Linked DNA regions of Nothobranchius furzeri. The main gene of each other region encodes a partner of the protein of the gene in region 3 in a complex. Links are inferred from orthologs where the notes say so. Each region holds a gene or a part of one and is shown on either strand. Other genes may lie near its edges. The genes, in order: polr2eb, uxt, pfdn2, pdrg1, pfdn6, ruvbl1 and uri1.

What was found.
Region 1: pfdn2 (region 3) and polr2eb share a complex: the UniProt entries of both Homo sapiens proteins name them as parts of the PAQosome complex. The link is inferred for Nothobranchius furzeri from reciprocal best matches to the Homo sapiens genes PFDN2 and POLR2E.
Region 2: pfdn2 (region 3) and uxt share a complex: the UniProt entries of both Homo sapiens proteins name them as parts of the PAQosome complex. The link is inferred for Nothobranchius furzeri from reciprocal best matches to the Homo sapiens genes PFDN2 and UXT.
Region 4: pfdn2 (region 3) and pdrg1 share a complex: the UniProt entries of both Homo sapiens proteins name them as parts of the PAQosome complex. The link is inferred for Nothobranchius furzeri from reciprocal best matches to the Homo sapiens genes PFDN2 and PDRG1.
Region 5: pfdn2 (region 3) and pfdn6 share a complex: the UniProt entries of both Homo sapiens proteins name them as parts of the PAQosome complex. The link is inferred for Nothobranchius furzeri from reciprocal best matches to the Homo sapiens genes PFDN2 and PFDN6.
Region 6: pfdn2 (region 3) and ruvbl1 share a complex: the UniProt entries of both Homo sapiens proteins name them as parts of the PAQosome complex. The link is inferred for Nothobranchius furzeri from reciprocal best matches to the Homo sapiens genes PFDN2 and RUVBL1.
Region 7: pfdn2 (region 3) and uri1 share a complex: the UniProt entries of both Homo sapiens proteins name them as parts of the PAQosome complex. The link is inferred for Nothobranchius furzeri from reciprocal best matches to the Homo sapiens genes PFDN2 and URI1.

What each region holds. Positions count from the first base shown.
Region 1 is NC_091748.1:48,498,250-48,501,545, reverse strand, and holds part of polr2eb (DNA-directed RNA polymerases I, II, and III subunit RPABC1), read right to left. Parts: intron 1,130-3,296; coding exon 1,049-1,129; intron 972-1,048; coding exon 913-971; intron 809-912; coding exon 730-808; intron 1-729. UniProt on the Homo sapiens protein: DNA-dependent RNA polymerase catalyzes the transcription of DNA into RNA using the four ribonucleoside triphosphates as substrates.
Region 2 is NC_091755.1:47,134,562-47,139,123, forward strand, and holds uxt (protein UXT), read left to right. Parts: upstream 1-1,569; 5' UTR 1,570-1,747; coding exon 1,748-1,833; intron 1,834-2,136; exon of another isoform or gene 2,137-2,159; intron 2,160-2,473; coding exon 2,474-2,555; intron 2,556-2,991; coding exon 2,992-3,059; intron 3,060-3,197; coding exon 3,198-3,305; intron 3,306-3,468; coding exon 3,469-3,532; intron 3,533-3,797; coding exon 3,798-3,860; 3' UTR 3,861-4,029; downstream 4,030-4,562. Other genes in the region: cdk20 (cyclin-dependent kinase 20), read right to left, coding at 307-420, 512-586. UniProt on the Homo sapiens protein: Involved in gene transcription regulation. Acts in concert with the corepressor URI1 to regulate androgen receptor AR-mediated transcription. Together with URI1, associates with chromatin to the NKX3-1 promoter region.
Region 3 is NC_091742.1:74,820,593-74,825,063, forward strand, and holds pfdn2 (prefoldin subunit 2), read left to right. Parts: upstream 1-1,611; 5' UTR 1,612-1,833; coding exon 1,834-1,914; intron 1,915-2,758; coding exon 2,759-2,847; intron 2,848-2,965; coding exon 2,966-3,089; intron 3,090-3,317; coding exon 3,318-3,509; 3' UTR 3,510-3,792; downstream 3,793-4,471. Other genes in the region: nit1 (deaminated glutathione amidase), read right to left, coding at 157-233. UniProt on the Homo sapiens protein: Binds specifically to cytosolic chaperonin (c-CPN) and transfers target proteins to it. Binds to nascent polypeptide chain and promotes folding in an environment in which there are many competing pathways for nonnative proteins.
Region 4 is NC_091743.1:5,381,213-5,385,667, reverse strand, and holds pdrg1 (p53 and DNA damage-regulated protein 1), read right to left. Parts: upstream 2,951-4,455; 5' UTR 2,880-2,950; coding exon 2,796-2,879; intron 2,657-2,795; exon of another isoform or gene 2,488-2,656; coding exon of another isoform or gene 2,458-2,487; intron 2,348-2,457; coding exon 2,272-2,347; intron 2,050-2,271; coding exon 1,975-2,049; intron 1,893-1,974; coding exon 1,812-1,892; intron 301-1,811; coding exon 218-300; 3' UTR 136-217; downstream 1-135. UniProt on the Homo sapiens protein: May play a role in chaperone-mediated protein folding.
Region 5 is NC_091741.1:28,884,715-28,889,349, forward strand, and holds the start of pfdn6 (prefoldin subunit 6), read right to left. Parts: upstream 3,213-4,635; 5' UTR 3,091-3,212; coding exon 3,027-3,090; intron 2,905-3,026; coding exon 2,834-2,904; intron 2,756-2,833; coding exon 2,631-2,755; intron 17-2,630; coding exon 1-16. Other genes in the region: mmgt1 (ER membrane protein complex subunit 5), read left to right, coding at 3,657-3,735, 3,996-4,048, 4,126-4,229. UniProt on the Homo sapiens protein: Binds specifically to cytosolic chaperonin (c-CPN) and transfers target proteins to it. Binds to nascent polypeptide chain and promotes folding in an environment in which there are many competing pathways for nonnative proteins.
Region 6 is NC_091743.1:48,428,733-48,433,509, forward strand, and holds the start of ruvbl1 (ruvB-like 1), read left to right. Parts: upstream 1-1,566; 5' UTR 1,567-1,700; coding exon 1,701-1,841; intron 1,842-4,777. Other genes in the region: eefsec (selenocysteine-specific elongation factor), read right to left, coding at 675-981. UniProt on the Homo sapiens protein: Possesses single-stranded DNA-stimulated ATPase and ATP-dependent DNA helicase (3' to 5') activity; hexamerization is thought to be critical for ATP hydrolysis and adjacent subunits in the ring-like structure contribute to the ATPase activity.
Region 7 is NC_091744.1:78,624,035-78,628,549, reverse strand, and holds the start of uri1 (unconventional prefoldin RPB5 interactor 1), read left to right. Parts: upstream 1-1,562; 5' UTR 1,563-1,846; coding exon 1,847-1,918; intron 1,919-2,617; coding exon 2,618-2,652; intron 2,653-4,515. UniProt on the Homo sapiens protein: Involved in gene transcription regulation. Acts as a transcriptional repressor in concert with the corepressor UXT to regulate androgen receptor (AR) transcription.

The DNA.
Region 1 (3,296 bases), on a different chromosome or scaffold from region 3:
ACCTCCATCACTGTAAATAAAGGAGAAAAACAAGTTGATTGAATCCTTTTCTTACCCTTTCCACATTGTTTAATGTAAAGTTTCGTTCTGTAGAAAGTTTAATGACAATCCAACGAGACAGAGCCTGGATTTGTTGTCTGAACAGTGTAAACATGTTTTAAAAGGAGACGCGTCAAAAAGCGGCACCTGCGCAGGGCCGGTAGGCCCACACACAACGCCACGGCTGTGGCTCCCAGTGTTTTCTTTACTGTGGGAAACGGGTAATAACGGCTCTTTGATGGGAAAAGGTTGCCGACCCCAGATCTACTCAAACGACCAAGATTCCTTGTGAATAGAACATGCGCACCTTATGAAAGGGTTATCCCGATACGAGTTTACATGACCTGATACTTGGGTTAGAAAAGGGTTACCTCCAGGGTTAATTACCCGGTTTGTAAATACCCGGTTATGAGCACAACTGGGTTTTTGCCGGTGTTTACATGGCCGTGTGGAACCGGGCTATTGGCTGCATGAAAGCACGGTCACAGTTGGAAAACTCAAAACTATTTGTGTTTGCATTTGGACAATAACTGTGCCCATGACAACCCAGCAGTTTGTGTAAAATGTAAATGAGTGGCAAATAATATACAAGTGATGTTAGAGAACTCATGATGTGACATGTAATAATGAAAACTGGTCACAGGTCCTGTACAACTCTTACATGTGAACAGGAAGTACTCGGTGCTTTACCTGTCCTCTTTTCAAGCCAAAGTAGCGCGCCACAGGGTCTCCAGCCTGAATCCTCGGTAACTGACTTTCTTTTAGTTTACTGAAGTAATCATGTTAAAGAAAACAAAGGTATGTGAAATAAAAGCCCTCAAGCGTCAACACAAAACCTGCAGCATAGTAAAAAGAGGAAATCAGTAAGGATACTATCTTGCTAGAAGCTCGGTCACTTCCTCCTTCGTCATGACGATGTGCTCAGGTACAAGCTGAAAGTTCAGACACAAAACTGAAACCCACTATTCTCAGTATGTACACAAAAAAAAGAACATGATATGCTTTTTACCTCGTGCTCGGTGATATTAATAAGCAGCTCCTGTTGTAGAAACTGCTCCAGTATGTACTTCGGTGCCATGTCCACCAAAGACTGTCAGGAAATTCAGTTTCAACTTATTAGACAGGACAGTGAAAGCCAAATAAAGACAATTTTACTGATAAAATTACATGATCTTTTTTCTTTCTCCATAATAATGGTGTTTACCTTGGGCCTATAACAAGCTCTCCTCGGTGACACTCACCTGACTAGAAAGGGTGCTCGCTGCAGAACCACAAAGGCGGAGCTGCACCAGAGTCAGCCCCGCCCACTCACGCAAACAGCCTAGCCCACTGACTTCTTCTGTTTTTTATTTTTTTATTTTGTAGCAAACTAACCTAACCCACATGAATTACGGCTGTTACTAGTTTACAAATGTTAATGCTACGTTCTATGCTCCAATTAAACAAGATAAATATAACTTGCTACGTGACAAAGCCTGAATATATCCCGAAATGAAAAGGTTTCTTTTAGCGAATATCTGTCCATAGCCGCTCCAACAGAACCGGGCTACAAAAGCATTTAAGGACAATTGTTTGGTGAGCCCTGGTAATCTAGTGGCAACATCGTCACACCTAAGTTTTGCTTTCCCCTCAGCTGATGTAGGTTCAACTCTCGGTGGGGTCGGCAGCTATCTATTTATCCAGCTGAAACATTTAATTTGTTTATATTTTAGTTGTAATGTTTATTTTCTGCAAAATATTTATATCTCTAAAAGTTCTTTGAATTTGGTCGTTCCTAAACAGCATTTTAGTTGGAGCTCTGCTCACAAATGGACTCACACTGGCTAAATAACGAATAAATAGAAAAACAAACACATTAGTCATTATATTGTAAACGGTATACCAATAAATGGTTAAAAACATAGTACTGGCAAGTGTAGCTAGAAAAGAAGAAAAAAGTTTGCGCCGTTACCGGGAGGTGAACCTGCGCAAAATTACATGACAAGCTGACTGCACAACCAGTTCACCACTACATCTGATAACAAGCTAGTGGCATCACATGTAATTGTCCCATCCAGTGTGTTTTTGTAGATGGGATGTATGGTTTTTCAGCGGTGTCTCAGTAGAAGTCATTTCAGAGATAATTTGTCAGAAAATTCACAGAATATCCAGATTTGAGAACCAAGACCAGACCCGCTTCGGAGGAGAGGACCAAATTGAAGCTGAGATGGGAGGAAAATGTGTGAATGAGGCCAAAAATGGCTTTGGCGTGTTTCTTATGAGGAAATGATAATATAACATAATAAAAAGTTCCAAAAGTTAGATTTTTAATTATATGGAAACCTTTACAAAAACGGTTCAGTTAACCTCTCAACTCAGTCCTCAATCCTGCATTTTAGATGATATTAGCTATATCACCCTCTTTGGTTCCAGGATGCTATTAAGTCTGACAACTGGAAGGAATTGGACTGACTCTGATGGAATGGGCGGGGCTGACTCTGGTGCAGCTCCACATTTGTGGCTCTGCAGCGAGCACCACTTGCCTGTCTATGGGACTGTGGAACAGCCAATCAGCAGTAAACAAAGCAGACTTCATTACTGCATATGCCAGTCACCTGTCACTTGATGCCCTGGCTCTCACTGAGACCTGGATCAAACCTGGTGACGATGAACCCAGCTGCACTCTCAATCAACCACACTTCTCATGCATCTGGCCGAGGTGGTGGAACAGGCATGTTAAGTTCCAACAAATGGAAATACAGTCAGTTGCTACCCATAACTAAGTACATCTCCTTTGAATACCATGCCATCTGGGTAACTGCACCGAAAATTATTCTTTATGGTTGTTATATATCGACAACCAGGACAACACGGAGACTTTCTAGATGAACTTGACACCCTGCTCTCCTCCATTCCTGAGCATGACTGTCCCACAATGGTCCTTGGAGACATGAATATTCATCTGGACAACCCCATTTCATCAGGTTTCCTGTCCTTAATGTTATCATTTGATCTAAAAACGGTACAAAGTTCATTCTCTGCCAGCATCACTAATGCAAAGAAAGCTTTCTACACTGACAAAATTCTCAGCACTTCTGACACTCAGAAACCAACTCCCTTCCTCCAAATCGTGTGGAGAACTACCGACCTATCTCTCTCCTCCCGTTCCTGTCTAAAATCATCGAAAAGGCGGCCTTCAAGCAGGTTGCAGAGCACCTCTCACAAAACTATCTGCTTGACCCATACAAATCTGGGTTCAAAAATGGCCACTCCACTGA
Region 2 (4,562 bases), on a different chromosome or scaffold from region 3:
TAATGGAACCAGATTTCTGCTCAGACTTAAAACCAACAGCAGATCTGGGCAACCAGGCACTTACCAGCCCCCCAGATCTCTGTGATGCTCCTCCTCGTCTCCTCAGAAGGAGGAATAGAGAACGTAAAATCATGGAAATCTGTTAATTTGGCAAATAGCTTTGTGAGGAATGGCCTGCAGATCAGGTGGATTCAGGACTGTGGTTCTGACACCATCACGAACACCAGTTTGTGGCATTTCAGTAGCATCAGGTCTGACACCTCGCTGTCCTCTGAACTGGGCAGAAGCAGCTGGAGGGACACTCACATACTGGTTGTCCTCAATCTCCTGCAGGGCCTTGATCTCCCTCAGAGCCTGGTTCGGGATGCCGTCTTCCAGCCTCCTCAGAGCCACTTTCTTCAGAGCCACCGTCTCTCCTGTCTGAGAGAAAAGGCACAAGACGAACATTCTGAGGAGGAACTGCTCTGCACCTGGAACCAGACCCAGAGGCTGGATCTTTTGCTATCGGTACCTCAATGTGTTTGGCCTTGAACACAATGCCGTGAGCTCCTTCTCCGATCCGACCCTGGATGCTGTACTGCTCCATGTCTGGGACAAGAACCTGATCCGGTCTGCTGATTTCTGCAGGAAGACCAATTTTTCATCTGATTCCACATTAAAACTTCAAGCTGTAACATTAAACTAAATAAGATATAGGTGACCTCTTTTTGAGAAAGAAAACACCTCCCAGAGCTTCTTTTACCTCCTCCAGCTGACCGACAGGAGCCAGAATTCAGACCGGAAACAAAGCTCCGTGTACAAAAGACGCCGTTTACGATTTTGCGCGTTTCAGTTCAATAAAACACCAACGTTTCTGAAATATTACGGAACGATAACTGAAATAAAGGTCGTAAGTTTTATTCGGGTTCTGAGATTATACATAAATCAGCTCGATTTCAATTGGATCCGAATTTTACAGAGGATGCTAACTCGTGTTGCCATGGTAACGTCACCACTAAGCTAAGTTAGCTCCTATGGCTTAATGAAACCGTCGAAATAATTTCAATTCGAGCAGAAATGTTTCCTGATAGTCGTTCAAGCCTGAAAGCGCGGCGAGGAGATCCGGTTTTCGGGCCTGAAACGTTTGAAAACGTTTTGTTTCAGACAAGAGCTGCGTTAGCTACGGTCACGTGACAACGGAAGTCACGACACAGATCCAAATCAGCTAGAAAAGACTCACATGTCAGTCAGAAGTGAAAATTAAATAAATAAATTATATATATATATATATATATATATATATAAATATATATGTATGGGGTTATGACATGAATGTGTATATAGGTTTTATGGGTTTTACAAATGTGTAATTTGGATGTGTTTTTAGAATTTAGAGATTTTAGTGCCGGCTGCTTCACAATGCTGTCTCGAATTGCCCCTCGGGGACTAATAAAGTTGTCTTGAGTCTTGATATATATATATATATATATATATATATATATATATATATATATATATAATCAGTCTGGAGCGTCTTCGTCTAATGCATCTATCTGTTTTATGTCTACATGCTTTATTTTGAAAATTTGGGGGCACTCAATGATTTAGTTCCGGTGTAAAGAATTATTTACATGCTAGCTTGGCATGCTAGCTGTGCTAACGGCACGTTTTTGTGTCCGAAACGGTTAATTTACATTGAGCAGAAATTCATCTGAACTGAATTAATCCGCATGAAGTTATTATTGTTGTTATTAATCTGAAAAGCTGCATGGAGGAACCTGTCGCTGAAAACGTGGACCGGAAGGTTCTGCAGTACGAAACGTTCATCAACGAGGTTCTGAAGAGAGATTTACGGTACGATTTAACTCGTATAGTTGATTTAGTTTCTCAGCTCTGCTCCTCTGTTTGGTTTTGAATTCTGAGTAGTTTCACAGATCCTGGTTTAGTTAGGGCAGGGTTGGTAGCTCTAGCTTGAAGCAGGTAAATAAAAGTTGGTGCTGGGTTCTGATGAATCTAAGCAGTTTCCGGTTAAGTTTTGATGCGATGTTTATGTCTCTACAGACACGATCATTATAGTACAGGTTAAGTTCTTTAAACGTAAATCATAAAGTTGTATTAAACACATTTGTGACAATCACTATGACCAGTGACTGGTACCTGGTTACCATGGCAGCCCCCCAGAGGGCGGGGTCTATCCGGCTAGAGAAGTTGACGCTTCATCTGAGCGACCAGAACAAAAGTCAAACTGCGGTGGTGAGTCCACAGAGTCGGATGATGTTCTGGTCTGTGGAATCAGAACCAACCAAAAAGATCCAGTGAAGGAGAACCAGAGAGTGGGTCCTGGAGAACCACGGATCCCTGGTGTGGTTCTTATCCAATAGAACAGTCAGAAAATGATTGCAAACTCATTTCAAATACTCTATTTTGACACCTCACACACACACACACACACACACACACACACACACACTGATGAAGGTGTTCTGTTTGACAGGAAGGTGTTGGAGCAGAGAGACCAGGTTTATGAGAAGATCTCCCAGTACCTGCAGCTGAAGAACACGATCCAGAGTCTGCAGGTAGTGTGTGTGTGTGTGTGTGTGTGTGTGTGTGCGTGCGTGCGTGTGTGTGTGTGTGTGTATGTGTGTGTGTGTGTGTGAGAGAGAGAGAGAGAGAGAGATTTTAAGGAGGGAGGCATCACTCTGGGAGGATCATAGGGCCTCCTCTAGGATTTTTTTCAGTTGTTTGAAATATTTTCAGCTAACATCCGCCATGTTTTAATCTCTGGAAACCTTTTAACTGCTGATGAAAATCCAGCGGAGCTGTGTGTTCTGGATCAGGAGTTCTGTTCAGGCCCGATCCAACAACAGACCAGTAACCTGAGCTCTTTAGGCCTCGTGCTGTCAATCAGAAACGCCTGTTTGTTTGTGATAGAATTTTGTGTGTGTGTATATATTTATATATGTTTATATCATGATGATGACGTTGCGGTTATGTCACTCCGTGTTCTTGCAGGAGGCGGAGTCCCAGCAGCTGAAGACAGACGTCGATCTGGGCTGCAGCTTCTATGTTCAGGCTCAAGTGTGAGTGTCTGTCTCTCTAGAGTGTCCAGCTCCTCCCTCCACAGACATTTAACCTCTTTTAGATGTTTGGTTCTGGTTCTGAGCAGTTTGGTTGTGTTTGGTCCCGGTTCTGACCCGTTGTTCCCCTCCTTTGGACAGAGACGACTCGTCCAGGATCTTCGTGGCGGTCGGTTTCGGGTTCTTCGTGGAAATGACCCACGATGAAGCTCTGCAGTTCATCACCAAGAAGACGAGTCAGCTGACAGTGTGAGCTCTGTGTTGCCGTGACAACACAAACTTTTTGTCACACGTCTCATTTTTGTCGAGCTGAGATCTAGTTCTAAATAAAGTTGAGGGAGTTTGAACGAGTGCTGTGTTAGCTCAATGTTCGGAACCAAAGATGCTAACCATGCTAACGCTTGTTTTGCAGCTTCACAGAGCAACTCACTAAAGACGCCGCCAAAATAAAAGCCAACATCCGCATGGTCCTTGAGGTCAGTTATTATGTCTATGATCTGAAGCTCTTTAATATTTGATTTGAGTTTTTCTGCTGAGTGTTTGATCTTCTATAAGTCAAAGCGAGTCAGAGACTCGGTAAGATCTGAAGTAGAGCCGGTCCGGTAGCGTCGAGGTGAGTTGGTGCTGATGGAGAGGGACGTTCTCCTCTAAAATCAGATGTGTTCATCGTGGAACCACGGAGAACCCTGATCCTCCAGATGAGGTGTCTGATTGGCTGCTATCTTCTTCCTCTGCCTTCAGGGTTTGCGGGAGCTGCAGGGACTCACCGACCTTCCCGAGAGCCAAAGAAGAGACGTCTTCTAGACTTTTCCTGGTTCTGGGCAGCAGGTGCTGCTGGGGCTGGACCTCCGGGGGAGGAGGAAACTCCTCTTCCTGGGAGGAGCTTTGTGGACAGCAGGACGAAGGTCTCCTCAGATGTTTGAAGAACATCACAGCAGTCATGAGTCTTTCCTGATTAAAATACTAAACTGAAGTTCATGTATTTTCATTTTTTCATTCATATTTTATTAATAATGAGGTTTTTAGTTTGGATTTGTTTTATTTATGTCAAACTTTAGTTTTTGTGTATATTTTTTATTGGATGTAGTTCTACTTTAGTTCTTTCTGGGATTTATTGTAATAAAATAATATCATATATTTTAGGCTTAAATGGGTAAAAGTTGTTGGTTGTTTATTTGCCAACATTTCATTTCCTGATGAATAAAATCATTCACACATTCTTCTTATAATAAATAATATTTTTAGACCTAAAAAGTGTTATTTGTCTTTTTGAACAAGCTGATTTAGATTTAAAGTGAACTTTTTTTGTTATTTTTAAGATCTTTTCCCGGTGTTATGGTTTATTTGTCTCTCAAAACCAAATATAAACTTTTGAAAGGAATTTGTCGGAATGTTCCTGAGGAACGCTGAGACGTTTAGCGGGTTTGTTGCGTTGGAAGAACGGGAACGTGCTCGAAGAGTCATGCGTGACCAGCACGTGTTAGCTCTGTGAGGCTGACGGGTGGT
Region 3 (4,471 bases):
TGTACACATTTACTACTCCTCCAGGTGACACAAATCGTGAATATGTGAGAATTTATGCTCCATATTTTTGTTGTTTGCAGAACAAATGCACGTGACAAAATTCTTATAAAATCTAGCAGTGCGTTGTTTGGTTTCAGTACTTATAAACAAACGCACCTGTTTTGCAGCAACGTCGGCAGAGAAGCCAAGTACTTCACAGACGATCTCAAAATGCACCTGGACATTGGTCCCATACAGCGTCACCTGAGGAGTTTAAACCCAGCTGGTGTTATTATAACGTTTGGTTAACCATCGACAATTACATAACGCGAGCAGCCCCTTCTTCTCTGCGATGCAAAAAATGACCAGAAATGTACATATAGCACCCTACTGCCACCTACTGGAGACTTTTTATAACAATATGTGGTAATAACAAAAAAACAAAAATAAATAAATAAAATAAAATAAAACTTTAAATGTAATGAAAAGTCCATTGTTTTAGGATGTGGAATAGTTTTTGAGTTGGCAATGTTTTTATACTCCTAAAATTGTTTTTAAAGTATTATAAATGCATCATAATCATTCAAATATAACACAGGTTTATAAATAACTATCAAAAATACCCTTAAACCAGACTGAATAAATATATTATTTTGCAAAGCAAACGTTTGGTCTAGTTCACTAATAAGATATAAACAGCACGTATACGTCGCATTTCAGTCAACTTTGAAGACATATTGACAATAATATTGTGTGTTTCTCAATTACAACTCTTTTCGTAATCATTCTGATTATTATGGCAAAGTTTTACATTAATAAATTTAAGTTCAGGTGCACTAAACCATGCATTGTTGCTTTTGAAAACAAATTCAAACAACACATTTAATGTGTTCAATCTTCTGAAAACCCCAGAGCAAATAAAAATCTAGAGGTCTGTATGAGGTTAATCCGCTTTCAGCAGTCCTTTACAGCGTTTGAATTATAAAAATAAAAAAATGTCGATAAATGCATTTAAGTGTATTTTTGTATTAAAAATTTACATGTATTTCTTCATTTGTTTTTAATTATTGATTTTAATTTATGTACGGTGTGCTTCTGATTATTGTCTAACATGAAAACTTTTGTTATTTTTGTTCATTTTTGTTTTGCTTTTGATGTTACCTATAGGCTGCTGTAAAGCACATTAAGTTACCTTTGTATAGGAAATGTGCTATACAAATAAAGCTGTCTTGTCTTGTCTTGGCGGTGTGCAAATTAATTAATTTAATGATTAATATGTCCTTTGGCTGAAATAAAGAATATTTGAAAGAGAAAAAACACGTCTAAAACTCCACGATGCAGAAACTGCTTTAATAAATAAGCTAGATTCGGAAAATGGGCTGCATGGTGGCGCAGTTGTTAGCACTGTTGCCTCGCAGCACGAAGGTTGCAGGTTCGAAACTCGGCTGCGGCCTTTCTGCGTGTTGCGTGTTCTCCCCATTCATGCGTGGGTTTCCTCCGGGTACTCCTGTTTCCCCCACAGATCAAAACATGCCCCATACGTTATAAATTGCAAGTCACTTTGGATAAAAGCCTCTGCCAAATAAATAAACATAAACATAAAATAAAAAAGCGTATGCACGAAAAAACAAAAACAATACAAAGTTGATGGAAGTTAATAGAAATTATTCCTTCAAATGCCATTTTATTTTATGTTGAATTAAGTTGTATTTTGTTTGCGGTTCTGCTTCTGAGTTTTTACATGAAAAAGTAAAAGATGGTTGCAAAGTAATTTAGATGTTTTACAAGCCGCATTTGCACTCAGGCAATCTCATTAGATAGCTGCAGGGTCCTAATTGGCAACACCCTTCCAAGATGGCAGCGAACGGTAGCAGCACGGGTAGCAAGTCCAGCAGCAGCGCCGGCGGAAAACAGTCCGGACTTTCAGCTGAACAGGTACTCTCAATTATATAAAAAGGTTTCATTTGTCGTTACAATTATTTCTGTTGTTGTTTGGCTCAGTTTGGTAAAGCAGAACTAAAAGTATAGCCCCTAGCTAGTCTAAGCTAACATTAGCATTCCTGTCGCGATCATCTGGCTCAAAACCCAAATTTGGACATCGGGAACCGTTAGGAGTCTAATAAGGACATTATGAGAGTTTACATCAAACTCTTACTTCTAACAATTTTTACGTTAGTCTATGTATTTACGGTTTTGAAATAATGTGTTTGGTTTGGTGTGACTAAGCATAAAGCTATTTTTGTCCACCTAACCCTAATAAATTATTACTCAGACCATATTAAACAAATCACTGCTGTAATGTCTGTAATACAGTGCACTGTAGTCCGTAATATATCCTTTAACAACAATAATGGCAACATTAGAGTCGAGCAATACCTTCAAATATGTGTCAAAACCTTTATTGATCAGGTTTTACAAAAATAATAATAAAATGTAAATATTGCCATATTGTATCATAACCTTTTTGTTATTTTCTTACATATAAAGTCTATGACTCTGCGTAAATGGTGATTAAAACCATCAAATAAACAAAGTTTATGTCCACTACTTCTAAAAAGTTGTAGATTAAATCTGATAATAAAATTAAACCTTTACCATTAATGAGTTGCTGCATTATGTACATTTATTTAATAATCTTTTAAACAAAATTGTAATATGCTAATTACCAGTTATGACTTTAAGAGTTTGGTTTCAGTAGACAACTAAGGAGTAGCAGCATCTGTTTTTTATTTATTTATTATACTTAATAAAAAAATGATCAAATTCCATTTGTTTTCAGGTGGTAGCAACATTTCAGAGGATGCGTCAGGAGCAGCGTAGTATGGCTTCGAAAGCTGCTGAGCTGGAGATGGATGTCAACGAGCACAGGTTGGTGGAGCATCATCTACATTTATGTTCTAGACACAAATGTTTCACAAGATTTTGTAGGGGAAACAATCCAAAAGACAGACCGTTTAATACCTTTGCTATTTCTTTTCATATTTAGTTTAGTAATTGAGACCCTAAAGGAAGTGGATCCTTCCAGGAAATGCTTTCGTCTGGTTGGAGGAGTGTTGGTGGAAAGGACAGTAAAAGAAGTTCTACCAGCCTTAGAAAACAACAAAGAAAAGGTAATGTTATTTATTTCGGTCACAGGAATGATCAGGAGAATAAACTGAGACATTTTAAATCACTTATTTAACACCAAAATAACAATAAGTGTACATCGAGTTAATCTACATAATTTCACAAGAAAGAGTTTTGTTTATAGGTTTTGAAGTCAAAAATAAACGTTTAGGTGTCAACTGCAGGATGTTTCGTTTGTCTGATTTCTCATCCATCTTCCTCTGTTCTAATAGATTTCCAAAATAATCGAGACCATCAACACACAGATGCAGGCAAAAGGACAGGAGCTCACAGAGTACAGAGAACGTTACAATATCCGGCTGGTTGGAGAGGGTGAAGGAGAGGCGCAGGGCCAGTCGGCAGCAAACTCGCAAGACAATGAAGGAGGAGGATCCAAAAGTGGAGCAGGAGTTCTGGTCTCATAATGCTTTGAGGATGGACAGGGACAGCAGTGCCCTGTTATTTCTGCAGCACTGAAGAAGAAATGAAAACTAGCTCAAGTCAAGGAATTTAGGTGGAAAACTGAACTTTTCATAATGTTCCTTTTAGTTTTCTTGTTTAACTGTAATTTCCTGGAAGTTGTAATAATCATGGTCATCTGCTTCTCTGTTCAGTTGTTTATGTCCTCATTAAGGTCATTTGCCTTGCAGATGTTTTTTAAAATGCTGTCATACATTCAGCAAATAAATTAAAATGCCATAAAAAGGATTTTGAAGTTGCTGACATAAGTAAAAACATTTATCTTTCTCATCTAGCATATAAATCCTGTTGCACTGGGATGAAATTTTTAAAGACATTAAAAAAAAGTTAATGTCAGAATTAGATCCTTTTGCATTGTCATTAAGCATACACAATCGAAATTTATTGGTATGTCAGCTTTGAAAACGCACAAAGCTTTAAAAATGATGTACATTTTTGCGAAAAGGATGTAAAGGACTGAAAAACAACAAATAATTAAACGTGACTCATGAACAGGAGCCAGTACACAAAAGGAAAAATGGAGAAAAGGAAGAGGTTTCTCATGCTCACCAGATTATGTCATTGCGGCAGAGCCTGCCTCAACTCGACAGTACAGTGAGCTCTCACTCGGTTTTTACACTGCACACACTTCCAAAGCTTTACGGAAATAGTGCTTATGAACGCTTTCAAAGTAAAAGCCAGTCTCTGAAACGTGTTTTCAGACTTATTTCAAACGAACCATTCTAGAAAAAAAAATTTGAATCCAAAAGTGATCAACAAAAATTTTTATCACCATTTTAACTGTTTTTTCAAAACAAAGGCATATTGAAATTTGTTAAAATGTCTAAAAAACGAACAGGAGAAGCCCAAACATGGGTTTATTTAAATGAAAGACATTAAAATTTTCTTACTTTTCGTTTAGTTAATT
Region 4 (4,455 bases), on a different chromosome or scaffold from region 3:
AATAGATGGATGAATTTTTAATTTCTTGTGCTTGTGAAGCGTCTTGAGGGAGGGCTTGTTGGAGGGTTTTAAAGCACAAATCAATACGGTAATCCTAATTTCTATAACATTTTTGTTCAGCTTCAACAACATCAGTTACTGTCCTGGATTTATTGAGCAGAGCTGTACAGAAACTGGGTTTAACACGTCGGCGTTTTCGTCCTCAGCAGTTAGCTGCTCATCTCTTCAGAAGGCTGGTGATAGCTTTCATCTCATCAGAGGATAGAGGAGACAGATTATAACCTCTCAGCTCAGGATTTCCTGAAAGCAAGCAAACAACAAAGAAAAAATATCACAAACAACAAATACTCTACAGACAAACATGAGGTGCTTCAAAGGATCAACTCAAACAACAAATAAATGTTTTCCAAACACCCATCAGCTCCGGCACCGCCATCACTCACGCCAGCTGCTCGTCGTGTGAGATCAAACCAACAACACCAACATCACTGATAAGCTTCAGGTGCAGGTGCTAGCAGAACAGCCACACGAGTGGTTCGTGCAGGTGGGGCTCAGCACACGCCCCTGTGGAGTGAAAGTCTGAAATAAATAAAACCGTGATCATGTGATCCTCAAATCTGATCTCCTTTCCAGCGTTCCTGACTGACCCGGGATCTGTTGTGTCTACTATTGTACAGGTCCGGGGCGAGCCCAGTTGGGGGGTTGGGTGTGTGGGCTGCAGGAGCCCAGTGACTGAGCTGACCACACGGGGAACTTGGTCGTTTTTCCAGGGTTTTGTCCTTTTCGTGGCCCGACCACGGTCATTTCTATTTACAGCTGTGGTCGTCTGTCGTTGTCTGAGTGTGAGACGGAGAGGCTGAGCCGTCCACTTCTTGCAGGAACTGAAAATAATTTATTATTGTGACGCTTCTCTTTCAGAAGCCGCCTGAATGTTTCAGAAGACAAAAACTGTTACGGTAAGCCAAAGAACGCGTGAAAAATGTGTCAGAGCGGCGTTTTGTGATAAAACGGGTCATCACTACTAACTCTTTCTCCACTCAGATCCAACAACTTATCACACGGAAGGATTCACAACACCTGTTGGGAGACAGCTGGTGCTTTGGGCCGACAGCTCACTGAACTAGAACCTTTAGTTCTGAAACAGACACTCAACCCTAACCCAGCACCAGATGGACTCCAGCAGCAGAAGACCACACCAGCTGTCAGCCAACAACAGGAACCTGGGCCTCAAATCCCCACAGCATCACCAGAAGGGACCGGAAAACGTTGCCTGGTCTGACGAGTCTAGACCTCCAACACCAGGATCCCAGTGTCGGTGCTTTTTCATCGAGTTCCTGATTATTTTCTTTGCAGTCAGAGTTTCTTACTGTTTGTGCCTCATAATGAAGAGAAGTGTGCTCACTAGGATGCAGTTCACGAACAACAATGTCCTGCTATGAAAATGGACCTCTCATTAAAACAATATGAAGCTGGAGGATTAGTTTCCAGTGTTGCTTTTCTAACAAACGATAAATATTTTCTAAATGAGCACACTAAACGTTTAGGAAGTGTCCGAGAGACTGCAACCAAATTAATGGTCACATTTATTATCATTATTATTATAATAACCAGAATAATAAACTCTTTAAAAAGCTTTAGCTTTCATTTAGTGCCCATAAAATAAATGTTAAATGAAGAAATGGTTCCAGGTCCATTCTGATCCGGAGACTGCTGTTTCGTGAGGATCTATGAGGTGAACAAGGGTCTGTAGTACCGGTGCTTGAATCATTAGTGTGGTGGATGGAACCGCTGATGTGTCACAACACACATACCTTCGATCTCGTTGAGACGACCGACTTTAGTTCTCAGCTCTTTGCGAAGGTGGTTTATTTCCTTGTCCAGCTGCTCTTGGTCTGCAGGTTGGAGAAACGGCTCAGACTAAATTCGACTCGTGTTAAAAACGGAAGATCTAACTTGTAAACGATAAAGGATCACCTTTCCGGATCATCTGCGTCGTTTTAGACTTGGAGAACTTGATGAACATGTTTCCAAAGCAAACCTTGACTTTTTCTGTGGACGGCAGCAGAGGCGGCCATTACTCCTTCATCACCAGGGTCACCAATAAACAACCACGAGTTTCATAATTAGCCTGAGATTATTTACAGATTACACGTGTTCCTTTAGGCAATAATAACAGACGGATGTTCCAGCTTTATGGGAACGTTTGGTTGTTGTAGCTACAAGGGTTCCTCTGTGGTGTTCTGGTGGCCTGAGTGCTGATGGATCACAAACCTTTATCCGACATCTCATGTTTCAGTGCGTTCAGCGCCTCTCTGTTGAAGTTTCTCTTCATGTCCAGGTCAACAATCTGAAACACACACACACGTTTGTTTTAAGGGAGGACATTATTAACTGGGATATCCGTGCGTGTGTGTGTGGTTTTAGAACAACAGTTTTCTTCAGATATCATGAACGCACCACCTGACTGGACCAGCTACAGAAGGACATTTGACTCTAGACAACATCGGTGTGGTGACGGGTAAATGAAGTGTTGAACCAACACCAGAACTTAGCTCTCTTGGCTCCAACCGCTAAAATCCTCATGCATAAAGCTGCTAACGCACAGAACTGCGTCTGAAAACCGCGTACGTCACATCCACTCACACTTGTTAGCATGAAGCTAGCAGCTGTAACCCGCTACGGGTCTCACCGCGTACGTCACTTCCACTCACACTTGTTAGCATGAAGCTAGCAGCTGTAACCCGCTACGGGTCTCACAGAACCAGCCTGGCCACGGTGGGTCTGGATGTGTTTACCTGTTGTTTGGCGGTGAGAACATCCTCAGCCGCCTCTTCCACTTCAGTCAAGCGCTCCAAAACACGCAGAGAAGCGTCGTCCATCTTTGAGTCTTCTTCTTCTGGGCTAACGGTGGACTACCGCCCCCTGCTGGAGAGAGGTCACCTCCGCATCCGCCGCGAAGCTTTTCACAAATGTATTTTCAGAGGTGTGACCATAGACTGTACATACTCCACATACAAATGTTTTTCTGTATTTTTGTAAATATTCTCATCATAAACTAAATAAATAGGAAAAACATTTTCAAAAGCATGTCCAAGTGGGCTCAAATTCTTCATGTATAGCAGGTGTGACCAAGTCACTGCTTTGCAAGTCATAAGTAAGTCACAAGTCTTTCCATTCAAGTCTAAAGTCAAATCCAAGTCAAAGACAACCAAGTCCAAGTCAAGTCCTTAACTTTGAATTTTCAAGTGATAATCAAGCCATCTGTCCAACTTCTATTTAATGACGATGATAATAAATTAATTCCAGAAAAAAACCTTCTTAAAGCTTCTTTTTTTTTGCTCAAACAAGCAGAAACTGAGACTGGTTATAAACAAAGCGCTGCTGCATTCAGCAGTAAATCAAACCCAGAACCAAGAATGATTTATGATTTTTGTCCATGTCGTGCCACTTCTGTGACAAAATATCAAACATTCTCAAGTCATCATCAAGTCAACAGATGCAAGCCGATTCAAGTCACAAGTCACTGGTGTTCAAGTCCAGTCAAGTCATAAGTCTTTATAGATTTTATCAAGTCAAGTCAGAAGTCATTCAAATAATGACTCAAGTCTGACTCGAGTCCAAGTCATGTGACTCGAGTCCACACCTTTGTGTATTATAGTCAAAATGTACAAGTTACTGTGCAAAACAAACAAATTACAAATCATTTTCCTTGGACCAATAGAAAAAAGTCCATCGTTCCTGAAACTTCAGCTGAATCCCTTCCAGAAACATCTGTTATTGTCACATAAAATAAGAGTGGACTCAGCATTAACGCCTTTAAACCAAGTTTCATGATGGACAGGACTTAAAAGCAACATTACACGCACGGTGGTCACGGGTGTAATGAACTGACCAGGTTTGAAAATGGACCCAAATATTCCAGAAACAGTTTTCAGACTTTCAATTTTCCACATTTTCCTCATTCAAACGCAGCAACACTCAAATAAGTACTTTTTATACTTGTGACAGTTTAAATGTTCTTGATTTAAAGAGCATAAGTTCTGATTTGGAAGCGATAACTTTTCTTTTGGAGCCAAACTTTCCCGGTACACATCCGGTGGAGGAGACTGAGCCCAGCTTGTGGGTATAGCCTCGCTCCACAGGAGCCTCAGCTGGTCCCCCATGGGCCTGGCTCACCAGGTTAGGCTACAGTAACACTTATAGATGAAATGCTTGAGGGTTTGGGAACCTTTTAATGGTTTGAAGTTTGAGTTTAAGACTACTCATGTAAATATTAAAACTGGGCCAATGATTTAGTGTGTTTAAGTGTAATAAACAGAGGTGGGCCAGTATATGAAAAATGATCAAAGTCAAGCTTTTTCATCTGAGGACACTGTAATGACACCCCAGCTCCACGCACCAGGCTAGTCAGAACTTCATAATAAATCAGCTTCTCTGAAACCTGCTCAGGAGGGA
Region 5 (4,635 bases), on a different chromosome or scaffold from region 3:
CGTCTCGTACCTCTGACTGCAACAGGACGGGGCAGAGCGTGACACTTTAGTATTTAGTTTACATGCATCAGCAGGACTTACACCTGTACAGCTGGTCACTTGTGTGTAGAATTGATCTTTTTTAGACACGTTTAGCAGTTTTGGCTTGCTTTAGCACCCCCTAGTGTCTGTTTAGTAGAACCAAAAGCAAAATGTCTTTTTGCAGTGCATTCGTCTTTGTTTTTAACACCTTAATCTAACAGCTTCATTAGTGTCTACAGGAATGATTTATCACTAAACTAAACATATCAGCTCTGTTCGTGATCTAAAACATGCAGGAAATGTGCTGCAAGCAGGCATGTCAGCTCCATTTTTTCTAAGTCCAGCACTCTGAAGTTGCAAGCGTGATATTCTGGCCACAGAGGGCTGCGGGGGTCTGAGTTACATTTCTGTAACCCTGCTGAAGGAGTCATCACCTGAAGTTTTCACCTTTCCACTTGAAAAAAATCCATATAATGTCTTCCTAATGAATTTTCACTGGCCGGGAAGCCAGTTTGCTGCTAAATAAAATAGCCAATCGTAGTTGAGTCCTTCTAGCCAATCAGAGGCGAGAAAGGCGGGATCTTTCATGGACACCCTACGGTTCCAAATGACACGCCCAGCACAGCCGAAATATCGCGTGTGCTCTTGTGAGAAAACCTGTCCTTTACAAAAAAGGGTCAGAAAAGCACTTTTTTAATTAATTTTCCAATACAAATGACTTTCATGGCCTAAATAATATAATGTGATGTAGATATCCACGGTAGTAACGGGTGATGACTCCTTTAAGGGTCATTCTAGCACATACTTACTCAAGAAAATGATTAAAAATATGAAAACTTTACATCGTATCCCTTTAAGGTACGTTTCAACATAAATGATTGTGTGTCCGAAACAGAATGCCTTGTAGGAAAATTATTTTTGTTGTTGATTCGATCCAGCCGTCACATTTTTCTGATTTTTCAAGCTCCACTCTCAAAGATGGAGGTTGAGGATTAGGAGGAGAGGAGGAATAACCAGGATAACTGAACCTGAACGGGAGGTGTTCCTGCTCCTGCTGAGCCAGTGTGAAGGCGGTGTGAGCGCCATGGCTTCTCCAAAGTTTAGCAGGTTTTTCATTTGTCTCATTGCTTTTGTATTTTTCAAATTTTTTTGTTTGTTTGTTTCCAGGTTTAAATATGCGATTGTCTCTGTGTCCAATACAATTAATCCTTCGTTCGGCTGACAGCTGGGATTAGTCAGCATATTTTAATATGTGACACATTGGGTGTCGAGTATCAAAATACATAATCCTCACAGTCAGAAATATGGAATTTGTGTTTTTTAATTTTAATTAACTCACAATCTCTGGAAATATGTAATGATGAGAATAACAAGCAAAATTAGTAAAACTATTATAATTCTGGATTCGATTGTTTTTTTTTGTATTTTCTGATTTTGTATTTGATTCATTTAATTCCAGCAGCAGGTATTTACTCAGATTTACTGAAACATTCCTCTCTGGTTCTAACTGGGAATGCCGGTTTTCCAGTCTAATTCTCCAGTAAAACAAACTGCTGGTCTTTGTGGATGAAGTTTTCCGTTCCTCTCCAACTTCATCTCTTCAGTGCTGCGTTTTGAGTGGAAAAGTGACACGCAAAAAATATGCTTCCGTCAGTGCACACTCAAGAGGTGAAACGTATCATCCTAACCACCGCCATGCTAGAACCCGGAATCGCTTAGTGAAGGATTCGGTTATGTCAAACACGCTAATTTAAGAAAGTCCCTTCATGTTCAACTAAAAATGAGACTTCCTGGTTAAATAAATGGTTTTAAAAGCGACTGTCAGCAGCTTCAACCCACAAGAAAATAAGGAACTATGGTGGATCCTGTTTAACTCACTCACTGCGCTGTTTTCTGATCAGAAATCCCCTGGCTGCCAGCGTTTTTGAGCGTTTTTACTGATTTTGAAGAGTCAGAACGTTGTGCTCTATGATCATGCAAACGCCAAAACTATCGAAAGAAAGAGTAGACTCACTTTTTACATCAGGAAGAATCACCGTGTTTCTAGCGTTAACCATTCTTTCACAATCTGTTGTCCAAGTGTGAGCTGCAGACGCTTTTCTGGTTAGCGCCTCGCTTTTTTCACAGCAGCGTCCCAAAACAATATCCCAATTCATGGATTTTCTCCTTCCTGATCAGGTGACGTGTGACACACGGACTAAGATCAGCTTTAGAGACGTCATGTTTACTCTCATGGTGCGGGGGCTCGATCCCACGCCCACCCCGTTAAAACAATGCAACTGACAGCTTTAGTTGTCAATTGCAGCGAGCCACTGGATTTAAAATGACGTCTTTAGCTGTCAATGGCAATAAATGATAAGGGCCAACTGTTTTTTTAATATTCGCATTAATTTGATGATCTCATCTCTGCGTCTGGCATTGCTCAGAATTACATTTTATGTTTGTTTCCATTAAGATTCCTGCCTGAGTCTGAGTAAAATCAGGGTTTAACCGGCTTCGTCCACCTGAAATTGTAAAAACAAGATCAAATCTAACCATCTTTCACCACTGTGACACAGACATTGGTGTGCAGGTGAGCTGTAGAACAGTAAAGCAGCAGCTTGACTTACACTTCCCCGTTGATGTACTCCAGTCTTTTAGCCACGGTGGCTTTGGCCTCATCCAGATCTTGTTTCACTAAAACAGGACCGATAAGTTTATAGATGGTGTTTGAGCTGTCGAGCAGATCCAGCTCCTGGAAACACAGGCGAGTCATGTCTGGATTATTACACACAAACCGTTGTGATATACAGCCATACAGGACTGAAGTTACCTCTTTAACAATGTTGTTCTCTGTCAGCTGCGTCTCCAGTTTCTGTCTGGCTGACATGTTCTTGCTAACATCTGAAAAAACACGCAGGTGGGTTAAAAAACTATTCTTATGGCCAAAAAGCTAACGTTACTTCATGCACACATAGCGGCTACATGCCCTCTAAAACTTGTGATAGCACATAAAGAAAACCCACCTTTCTGCATTTGTGCATACTTTTCTACTTCCGCTTTTAATTTCTTCTGAATGGCGTCTGCCATGTTTGCTTATTTTATCTTACACAACTGTAAAAGTTTAATTATTGTAACAGAGCGCTTAGCAAGGCAACATGAGAGAACAGCGCTAGCTAACAGGAAGAAGCTACGCAGAGACCGGATGTAGTGGAAGATTCAGGGCACACTCGGATATTCTGGTTTTAAATCGAGGTCAGAATAAAATTATGTGTATCTGGACTTATTTTGACGCAAACGCTCACTAAACCATGAAAAGCTCTTTCTAGTTATACATCTAATCTTCAATTTTCGATCAAATATATTGGTTGGAGATCAATGAGTTTGGTTAGAAACATGTAATTTAGGATGTGATTCGAATGCACCATTTGACGTCTGACAGCTTTCTTTGGGTATTTTCAGCTCACAAAAATCTAAATAGAGGGCAAAAACACATAAATAAAATGATTTTACAGATATCAGGCTGCGAATAATAATATTTAACGAACATAAATAATCATTTGGCAGGTAGGTTTTGGTTTTGACGCAGTGACAGTTGCGTCAGTTTACGACTGTTTTACGACGGTGCCCACAGTCCCTCTGAGCCCTGCTTCGAGATGGCTTCTTCGTTTTGGAAAGGTGTTGTCGGCATCGGACTCTTTGCCTTGGCCCACGCAGCGTTCTCGGCAGCACAGCGTGAGTTTCAGCGCCAAGATGTTAGACCGATGTTTTCCTGTGTTGGTTAGTTCTGGTTGGACTGAGTCTCCACCGAGTGAAGGACCGCGGGGCCTGTGGCCACAGCAGCTTAGCTAGCTCCGCTAGAGCCTCCAACGGAGGAAGACTTTAATCTGTACCTGCTCGCTTCTGTGTGACTGCCGTCGTTTAATGTTTGGATTAAGAGTATTCTGTGAGTTATTGTCGATATTACTCTGATTAAATCCCAACTCTCCCATCAGATCGGTCATACATGCGGCTCACAGAGAAGGAGCACGAAACGCTGCCTATCGACGTGAGTAACCCATCTCTGGTCTTCAGAGAGAGCCCTGCTTTTTATTTGTCTTCACCGTCGTCTTGCTCCCACCACAGATCGTTCTGCAGACATTATTATCGTTTGTGATGACCTGCTACGGGATCGTTCACATCGCTGGAGAGTTCAAGGACATGGACGCGTCCTCGGAGCTGAAAAACAAGTGAGTAGATTCCCTTTACAGCCTCCGGTACCGGATCTGTTTGTGACCCGGTTCGATTTCAGCTCTGTGGAACATCCCTCCACAGGGACACTCTCAACTCCCATAAGGCAGTTCGGCAGATACACTAGTTAGGGATGGACAACCACCAGAGCTCTGTTCGACGAGACTAACATCTCTCGGTTCTTTGTCTTATTTAGGTTGAAAAACACTAATTTGTTGAAACATCTCATTATTCAGTTGTTCTCGAAACATTTGCAGTAGTTATTAAGTTCGCTTTAAAATGCCAGGAGACACGTTACTGTTGGGGACAAATTATAACGTTTATTCTGTAGTTGTATTAGCTCTATGGTCCATGCAATTTTTTGCACCAAATTCCTCTCATTAAAAGTTGTATTCTTGACATTTT
Region 6 (4,777 bases), on a different chromosome or scaffold from region 3:
AATACCCTGCATAGCCATAACAATCTCTGTGTTTGTGCTAACCATCATAAAACTGTGAGCTTCACAGGTAATTTGCATGAAAAAAATTACATTTCTAGAATTAACAAGACGTGACCCCGGGTTTCTTTGATTTGGTGGCACAAACATGCTTAAAAAGCTAAACGATTCAGCTAAACGCTTCCACCCGTGTTCACTTATATCCTAGAAAATGCGCTTTACCAATTGCAAATCATCTCATGACCCCTTGTGTACTTCTTGGTGACCTGCAGTGGGGTCCCGACCCCAAATTTGGGAACCACTATAAGGGGTCTCCAAACTGCAGCATCTCTTCCCCATCAATTGTTTTCATGGTTGTTTTGCAGAAAGATTGCGCCCTCTGCTGGACGATTGCAGCAAAATAAACTAATTTTAACGTTGCAATAAAACTTTATTTAATTATTTTTGTCTGATTGTGGCTGTATAAAAATAGTCAAATTTTACAATTTGGTGACTTTGTTCATTTAGCACAGTTTTGTGCTGGTTTTGTATTCTTTTATGGCCAGTTTAAGTTATTTAAGCAATATAAATGTATTTACAGAAAATTTCTGGCACTCTAGATTAAGTCTGGGAGCATTCACACATTTATTGTTAATGTATTTCATTGTATTTTTGTCCACCACTTTTTAAGAGCCCACCTCCTATGATAGTCCGAATGAGAGAAGCGTGACCCGGACAATCCACCAGGGTGAACTGAAGGCTGTCATACGGCTGCTGCCCTCCGCTTTCCCGCAGATGTTCAGGAAAATCCACCGTGAACGATGAGAAGCCGAGGTCCAGAGTGATGCCCCTCTCTCGGGACTGCGGGTTCTTGTCAAAGGCCGCCGTGGAGGCTGTGCTGCTCAGTGCTCTGGCGAGCGACGTCTTGCCGCTGTCGACATGTCCAAGCACCCCGACATTAAAGTTTAGCGTCTTGGCCCGGCTGTCAGGTGGCGACTCAGACATTTCTCAATAATCTGCTGAAGTTTTGTCGATAGCATGCGTATTTTCCTGAATTTTGAGCTTGAATTTGAACTCAACACGCAGCGTCACTTGTTGTTTATACGCGGTTCGTTGTTTTTGTTAAAACTAAAAGTTTGTTTTACAAGTTAGTAGTTTACTAAATGTTTTAGCTACAAAAAGGACTTAACAAGAATCGTGGTCCCTGGTATCAGTGTTATTGATCGTCAGGACTACAAACTAAAGCGGAACCCTTTCAGTAGCAAGCAAGAACAAAGAGAAATTTTGAAGTTTTTTCAGTTACTGTTTCTATAATTATAGAATAACTGAATGTGTGAATAACGTGTTATTTACTGTTTCGCGTAAGATAAATGAAACACATTTATTTGGATTTTGTCAATTTCTTGTTGTTTCTTGTACGACAAATTAAACAAAACACAACCGGAAGTGTGCAAAAATGATTGACACCTAAGTAAGCCAATTGAATCTTTACATAATTTCACAACATCCAATTATTTTCTAGACCACTGTAAAATAGGCGGAACCTCAGGGTATCATTTCCGCTTACTTTCCTTAGTAACCCGCATGGAAACAGATTTCTCTGTGTTTTGAGTTTCGGCGCCGATTACAGTAGTGAGGAATTAGCTTAAGTAAAAGCGAGTTTTAAAGCGTCTTTAGAGTAGGTCGTGGTATTTACATTACTCATTGATATAAATAACACAGCTATGAAAATCGAGGAGGTAAAAAGTACCACAAAAACTCAAAGGATCGCCTCGCATAGTCACGTCAAAGGACTCGGGCTCGACGAGGCCGGGAATGCTAAATCTACAGCATGTGGACTGGTGGGCCAGGAGGCTGCTAGAGAGGTACTGTCAAGTGCACTGCGTCGCCGTTAGTAGTCTATGTTTGAAATTAATTATCTTATAGTTATTTGTGATAGATTATTTAGCTCACTGTTGACAGTTTAATACGCCGTAAGCTAAAGCTGTTAGCAGCGATCACACTTTTTCATCCATTCATTAATTTCATTGATCAAATTTGAATTCTGTAATTTCCTTATTTTCGATCCTTATAGATTTTTTTTCATAAATGCATGACTTATTTCCTCAGCTGAACAGGTAGAAGTTACATAGATCTTTTTGCAGAGAAAGGCTTATGATTAGTGCATCATATCCCACATGAATGTTCCAGCATGTTTATATACATCATGTAGTATTCTCAGGGACGAAATTTTGATTTCAGAAGTGGGGGGGACACAGCAGGCTTGTGCGGATTTGGGGTGGGGGTGTTATGTAAAGACCCTTTGACACGTCACATGCCCATCTCAATAATTTTTCCATCCTCAATATATATATATATATATATATATATATATATATATATCAAAGTTAAAAAATGTACAACTCTATTATCATTAATATTTATTATCATTATTGAAGTGCAGTTTTGGCTGTTGACAATGGATAGGCCATTGTATTTATTGTTTTGGGTCTTTTTTTATTGTTTTTGGTGCAACATTTTCTAACAGGGAGTGAGATTCTTTTTTTTATTTAATTTTTGTTTGTTATTTTTATTCATTTAGAAGTTCTGGTTCTGGACATTTCAATGTTAAATGAAGGTTTATTTGTTGCATTTTAAAGGGTGTACTTGCATTATTATGATATATTAACATTATATTAGTGGTTATTTTGGTCTAGATAATGTTGACAATGATATCGTTTATCATCAACAATTTGTTGGACAAAATATCGTCCAGCAAAATTTGTTACTTTCCCAGGCCTAGTCAAAAGTATAAAAAGTATTTATACATAAACGGTCCCTCCTGAGATCTGGCCATTATTTCATTTGCTGTGTTAGAGGACATGCTGAACTAATGTTTTACACATGATCATCACCCTAACATTTGTCACAATGATCAATTTTATGTCTATCGTATCTTCATTATTTCAACCTCACCTGTGAGCCTCCAGCCTCTGCTCCATCTCCTCCAGGCTCTCGTCCTCCATCTCCTACAGCCTCTCCTGCTGTACCTTCACCGGTCTCTCCTCCTGCATCTCTGTCACTCACCTGAAAAAAAGATGCATGAACTATAAACAGTGGGAGATTTTGGAATGGAACAAACAGAAATATTTACAGGATGGTTCTAGTATGATTCACAATTATTATTAATATAATGTGTAAATTATTCATTACCAATTTGAGTGTATAAAAACATATTAAATATGTTTTTTCCCTTAAAAGTGTTTAAACAGTTGTTGCATTTCAACACACAAAAAATAAATGGAAAAAATAAGATAAATCTAATGAAAAGAGTACATCTTTGACATTAAGCTTAAAAAATCTGTTGACGATGATGATACTGTTCATTTTTCAGAGCTTTTTAATGTGAACATATACATTGCAATAGATAAGTTTACAACAAAGTTAAATGATAAAAGTTTTGAAGTTACACTTCTACTACTACTACTACTACTAGTAATAATAATCATGATAATAGTAATAATAATAATAAATAATAATAATTATAATAATACGAATAAATTGTGTCTGAGGAGTCAGTTATGTGGAGGAGATTAGTTTGTAAAAGTTAGTTTTGAGTATGTTTGTGAAGGAGGAGGTGAGTCTGAGCTTAATGCAGGGGTGTCACATGTTCCAACTTACGTTTTGACTTTGAAAGAAGTCTCTTATATCCACTTTCGTTTCTTGACATGCTGCCGCCTGGCTGTGCATAACTACCAAAGACTCACAAATGAACACTTATTCAAATGTTATATAATGGAAGCTGAGCTGAGCTCTGATATTACACAGCGTCTAGTTGACGATGTGACTCAGTACCGGTGTTCCCTAGCGGCTCCAAACTAGCAAAACAACGTGAGCACGTTCTGTTTACAACTTGAGTGACAGCAGCAACAGCCAATAATACGTTAGCAAGTATCAGCAGAGCCAATAGATTAGCTTTTGGGTGGGTCTAATAGGAAACCGGTTTCCGTTTCGGTCCTAGTGCTCAATCAAATCCATTTAATGGAGCGTAATATTGGTTTTGGACGGAAAAAAGTGAAGGGGACCGAAACTGCCTTTTGAAAAAGTGGGGGGGACATGTCCCACCCGTCCCCCCCCCAAAATTACGTCCCAGAGTATTCTAATATAATTTTGTGTTGGTAAAAAGCAAAGATCAGGATATTCTAGCACCGACAGCCACGACTTGTTTTTAATAACAAATACCACAGTTTTTAAAAGCGTTGTAGCATTTTGTAATTTCATTTATATCTTAATTAAAAACTAATAAAATGTCAGATCAAATTTAATAATAATACATTTAAAAAAGAAATACCATTGTTTGCAACATTTTCTTCTTTGAAATTTGATGCATTAAATAGGTTATGTTAGATAAGTTTGCACCACCTTTGCAACAGTAAGTAAATAAATGTTTTTAGGATTATTCAAATTTTTATTTCCGGTTTTTCTTTATGAAAGGTTTCAGCTGGTAAAAAATGTATGCATTTTTTGTTTTTGTTGTATTCATTTGTTTTGGGTTGTTTCACTGTACACTACATAATTGTAGATGATTATAAAATTGAACAACAGATCGGTCATTTCACCAAATGCACTCAAGTCAACTTTCTACTGGTGTGATTTGTTCCAAAACATGGTTTGAGGGGAAAAAGACTTTAATTAAAAATGGTTTTATATTTATATTCTGCACACTGATGTCTGAATAATTCCTCGTTTCAAAGACAAATTCTCAATCGTTTACAGAGAAAACACATGCAGCTTTAGGACGCTCCATCATTCCTCTTGATGT
Region 7 (4,515 bases), on a different chromosome or scaffold from region 3:
ACGCAAAGCTAAATAAAAGAACAAATCCAACTATTTATTTTCGTTTCAGCTTATGTTTTGATTTTAAAGTAATCGAAATAAAAGGAAAATATTTATGTAGGATGGGTAGCATCAAATACGATTACAATAGAATAGAAATAAGGCTTAGTCACGCTGACAAGGGTCGTGTTGTTCTTTTTCTGTTTTCTGTACTTCTACATTTTCATAATTATACAACTTTATTTGTGGATAATTTCTGTTGGAATCTACATTTATGATAAAAAAAATCTAATTTGTAACTTGTTTTTTTCCCCTTGCAGTCATCTATAATTAACTTTAAACTCAAAATCAAAATTAAATGATTATGGATGAAACATGTACTGATACTTTTGACCCATAAGAGTAGAAATATGAGTTCTCATGATTAGAGGACTAGGACAGTTGGGGTCAGTTTCATTTCTAAAATTGTAAATAAGATTAAAATACATCTGCATGCAAATCCCTTCCCTGACCAAGGTCAATGGGGCTGAAACCTGTTTTTATTTGACTAGCCATGAAACAATAAAGTATTTCTACCATCTTCATTTTCCTGATGGCCTCAGACCTCTTTTTTCTTAAGCTATACCTGTATGCCTCAATAAAAGAACACCTGAGGTATTCACAATCTTTTTACATCCCATAAGCACACCATACATTTTTGCTGTTATTGTAGATGCTGCTTTTATAACCAGACACATTCATGAATGAATGTGTATTCTGATTGTACATTTCCATTTTAAATGTGTACACTTAATAAAAATGAAATAAAAACATAAATACAATAACAAGGTATTTTAATAAAATAAAATTATATATATGTGTGTGTGTGTGTGTGTGTGTGTGTGTGTGTGTGTGTGTGTGTGTGTGTGTGTGTGTGTGTGTGTGTGTGTGTGTGTGTTGAAGAATTTTCTGGTGTGAGACATTCATCTCAAAGTTTAGTGAGTAGTTTTATTTTTTCAAAGCTGTAAAGCTGGTAAAACTGCAAGTAGGAAGGGTGAGGTTCCCATTTTCCCATAAAAACACTAGCTGGTTTAAACTTTTCTAGTTTTATAGTGAGACGATGAGCTTATTGAATGTTTTGTGGTTTAAATGTAGCCCATCATATAAAAAATGAATTAAATATATCTGTATAAGAACAAACTCCATGGAATTATATTATATTATATTATATTATATTATATTATATTATATTATATTATATTATATTATATTATATTATTCCAACAGACCGCTTCTTGAGTGAGTCGTGGCAGATGGCTGCTGATACTGAGCCAGGATCCTCTGGAGGTGTCTTTCCACTGTTTTCTTCTCCACTGTCGCTGCATGCTTGCTTAGTATGAGGAATGATGTACGATGCAATTTGCTGGGTTCCTTATATAGGAAACTTTTTTCTGATTGGCTTAATGAATTGGAATGTTTATGATGTGAAGTGCCTTGAGACGACTCTTGTCGCTATTTAAATAAACTTGAATTGAAGTGTTTTATTTTGGAAATATTAACCGGAAGTCTGCCTGAAACTTCTTCCGTGTTGCTGTAGAGTGCATGGCGCAGCGAAAGTGACGAGGAGAATCTGCTAATCTTTGGGATACCGAAACCGTGGATTTATTTGGGAATAATGCAGAAATTCTGAAGTGAGTGTGTGAGATGAAATCACCTCCGAGAGTGTGGACAACCATCACTGCCCCTTTGATGAATACGTGCAGAACGGGTCTCAGGAATAGCGTCTGCTGGATTCATAAACACTTCTTTAGGACTCACAACAACCCCTGAGCTTTGTTTTTGTGGGTCACAAAACGCACAGATTGACCGTTTTGCATGTGAATTGACGATGACTGAAGGTGGGAAAATGAATTTGGAGCGTCTCGGTGGAGTTGCGAGGCTCCGACAGGAACACGAGAAGGTAAGTTTTGGTGTTTAGGTGGTGGGCAGAACCCGCGAGGCCAGCCGAGCCACGCGGTTGGATCATTTGGGAGTGTTTAAACCACGAGTGGGTCAGCTGAAGAGCTTATTTCTTCTGCGCACAGACGCCTCTGCACGACACTGGTTACGTCACATGTCTCATCTGTGTTTTTAGGTTACCTTTAGCTTCCTTCTAGAAGTTTCTTACGTTCAAATTTAAGCCTGGAGGTGTGTTTGGCTAATTTTGTTTACTTGCACACAAGTTTCACTTGTGTGGAAGTTTTAAGATTTTGCTTTGATTCATTTAGATTATTGTCTAATGCAAATCGGGAAGTCCTATGCCCCCTATAACAACTCAAAAGGTCACCGGAAGTTATTAGAGCTTGACTAAAACTAAAGTTCAGACGTGAGCCAGCTGTTTTGTTGAAGAGAAAGCAAAAGCTTAGCCTTTTATTTTGTTTTTGACAGTTTTTTTTGGGGGGGGGGGGGGGGGAGCATTTGTATTATTTAATAATACAATACTAATAATTATATACATTTAATTTCCCTTTGCCAACACAACTTTATTAACCTATTTATTACAATTGAGGGCGTTTATGAATTGAAAATTCCCAGTAGGAATAAATATATGTATTATCCTGACATCAGATTGTGTTGACCTGAATTTGTAAACAAACTAAAATGATCTGTCCTAAAACAGGTGGTGAAAGACTGTGAAAGTCGGATTCAGCACTGGTAAGCATCCAAAACTCACAAGAATGTCTCTAGAAAAGGTTTGGAATGGTTTTCTACTTTATTCTAATGTAATCCTGAACTATATTACACTGTGATTAAAGTATTTTTTGAAAATGTAATCTGAAAAGGTGTTTTTTCCCTTAACTTTGACACTTAATAGATTTGTGATTTTTTAACTTGTTTTTTGTTCTACCAATTAGATCACCATACACTTTGTTTAGAACAACCATATGACACCCTGATGGCCCAGTTTACTCATGAGATCACTAAACACTTAGAATTTAACAACTGAATGACATCTTGCTGGGCCAGTTTACCCATCAGATCACCATACACTTTTAAAAAACGTATGACACCCAGACTTGTATATTTTTTAAAGCTCTATTGTAGGAATGCAATGATACCACTTTTTTCCAAACCGATACGATACCGATACTTGGATCTGAGTACTCGCCGATGCCGATTACCAATACCGATACTTCTACCACACGAAAAAATGCAATGATTTGGAATACAGATTGTATTTTCTTCTCTGCTTTCAACAGGAGACGACTGTGAGGTAGATAAAAAGTAAAATATATGAATGGAAATCATCACAAAACTAAAATATTAGGTGAACAGAAATGACAAGTTACAGGGAAGCCATTTTCAAGCAACTGCATTGGTATCGGTTCCTGGTATCAGTTAACTTTTACCGATACGATACTGGTACTGGTATCGATACCAGTATCATATCTGTGCATCCCTACTTTATTGTCTAATTTTATTTTTATTTTTTTTAGAGATAAAAGGTGGTAAAATAAAAATAAAAAATTGTGATACACATTTATCAGTCTGTTGGTGTGGATGGTAAAACATGAACACAACTGGAAATAAACTGCAAAACACCAGTGAATGTGCAGCCACTCAGTTATCATTAAAAATATAAATGACTCACTTTTTCTCATACTTTGCTGTCTGTATGCTGAACTGACGGCTGCTAAAGTTAAAGTCAAGTTAAAGTCCCATTAGTTGTCACACACACTGATGTGACCCATCCCCTGGGGGAGCAGTGAGCTGCAGACACAGCTGCGCTCGGGAACCATTTGGTGGTTGAAACCCCCAATCCAACTCCTTAATGCTGAGTGTCAAGCAGGGAGGCATTGGGTCCCATTTTTTTCTAAGTCTTTGGTATGACCCGACCAGGAATCGAACCCTGATCTCCCAGTCTCAGGGTGGACATTCTACCACTAGGCCACTGAGCTGGCTCAGAATGCAGAGGAGGTTTAGATGATCGTGCATAAACTGCATTCATGCTGCTCTGATATGTATGGTGTTCTGTCCGAACACCAGTCCCCAGTACTCCTTAAAGTCCACCAGTTGGTTTTAAGGTTTGGTGTGAATCAGGTTTTAGTTAAAGTTAGTTAGGAATAGATCTGCATTGGTTATCATTACTGTGCAGGTATGGGTTAGGCGTAATGCAGTCACAAAAATGAATGGAAGTCAATGGAAGCCCTCACGAACAAAGAAAGACAAACATGCATTTGTGCTTCTACTGGGGACAACAGCTCTCCAAAATAACTTGAGAAGGATGCTGAGAAGTGATTGAATCCTGGACTTAATGAAAGGACCAGAAGAGTGTGTGTGTGTGTGTGTGTGTGTGTGTGTGTGTGTGTGTGTGTGTGTGTGTGTGTGTGTGTGCACGTCAAGACAGTAGAGCTCTTTACTCAAAGATTAAGTGGGAACAGCGGTGTGGGCTTTGGAGCTCCAGTGTGTCCGCTTTCATCGACTGCAGCGAGTTCCCTTCAGCATTACCCGGGATCACACAGCAGGGGCCTGCAGTTGTTGTTTCAGGTCGGATGGCGGCTCACGTTTCATGAGCAG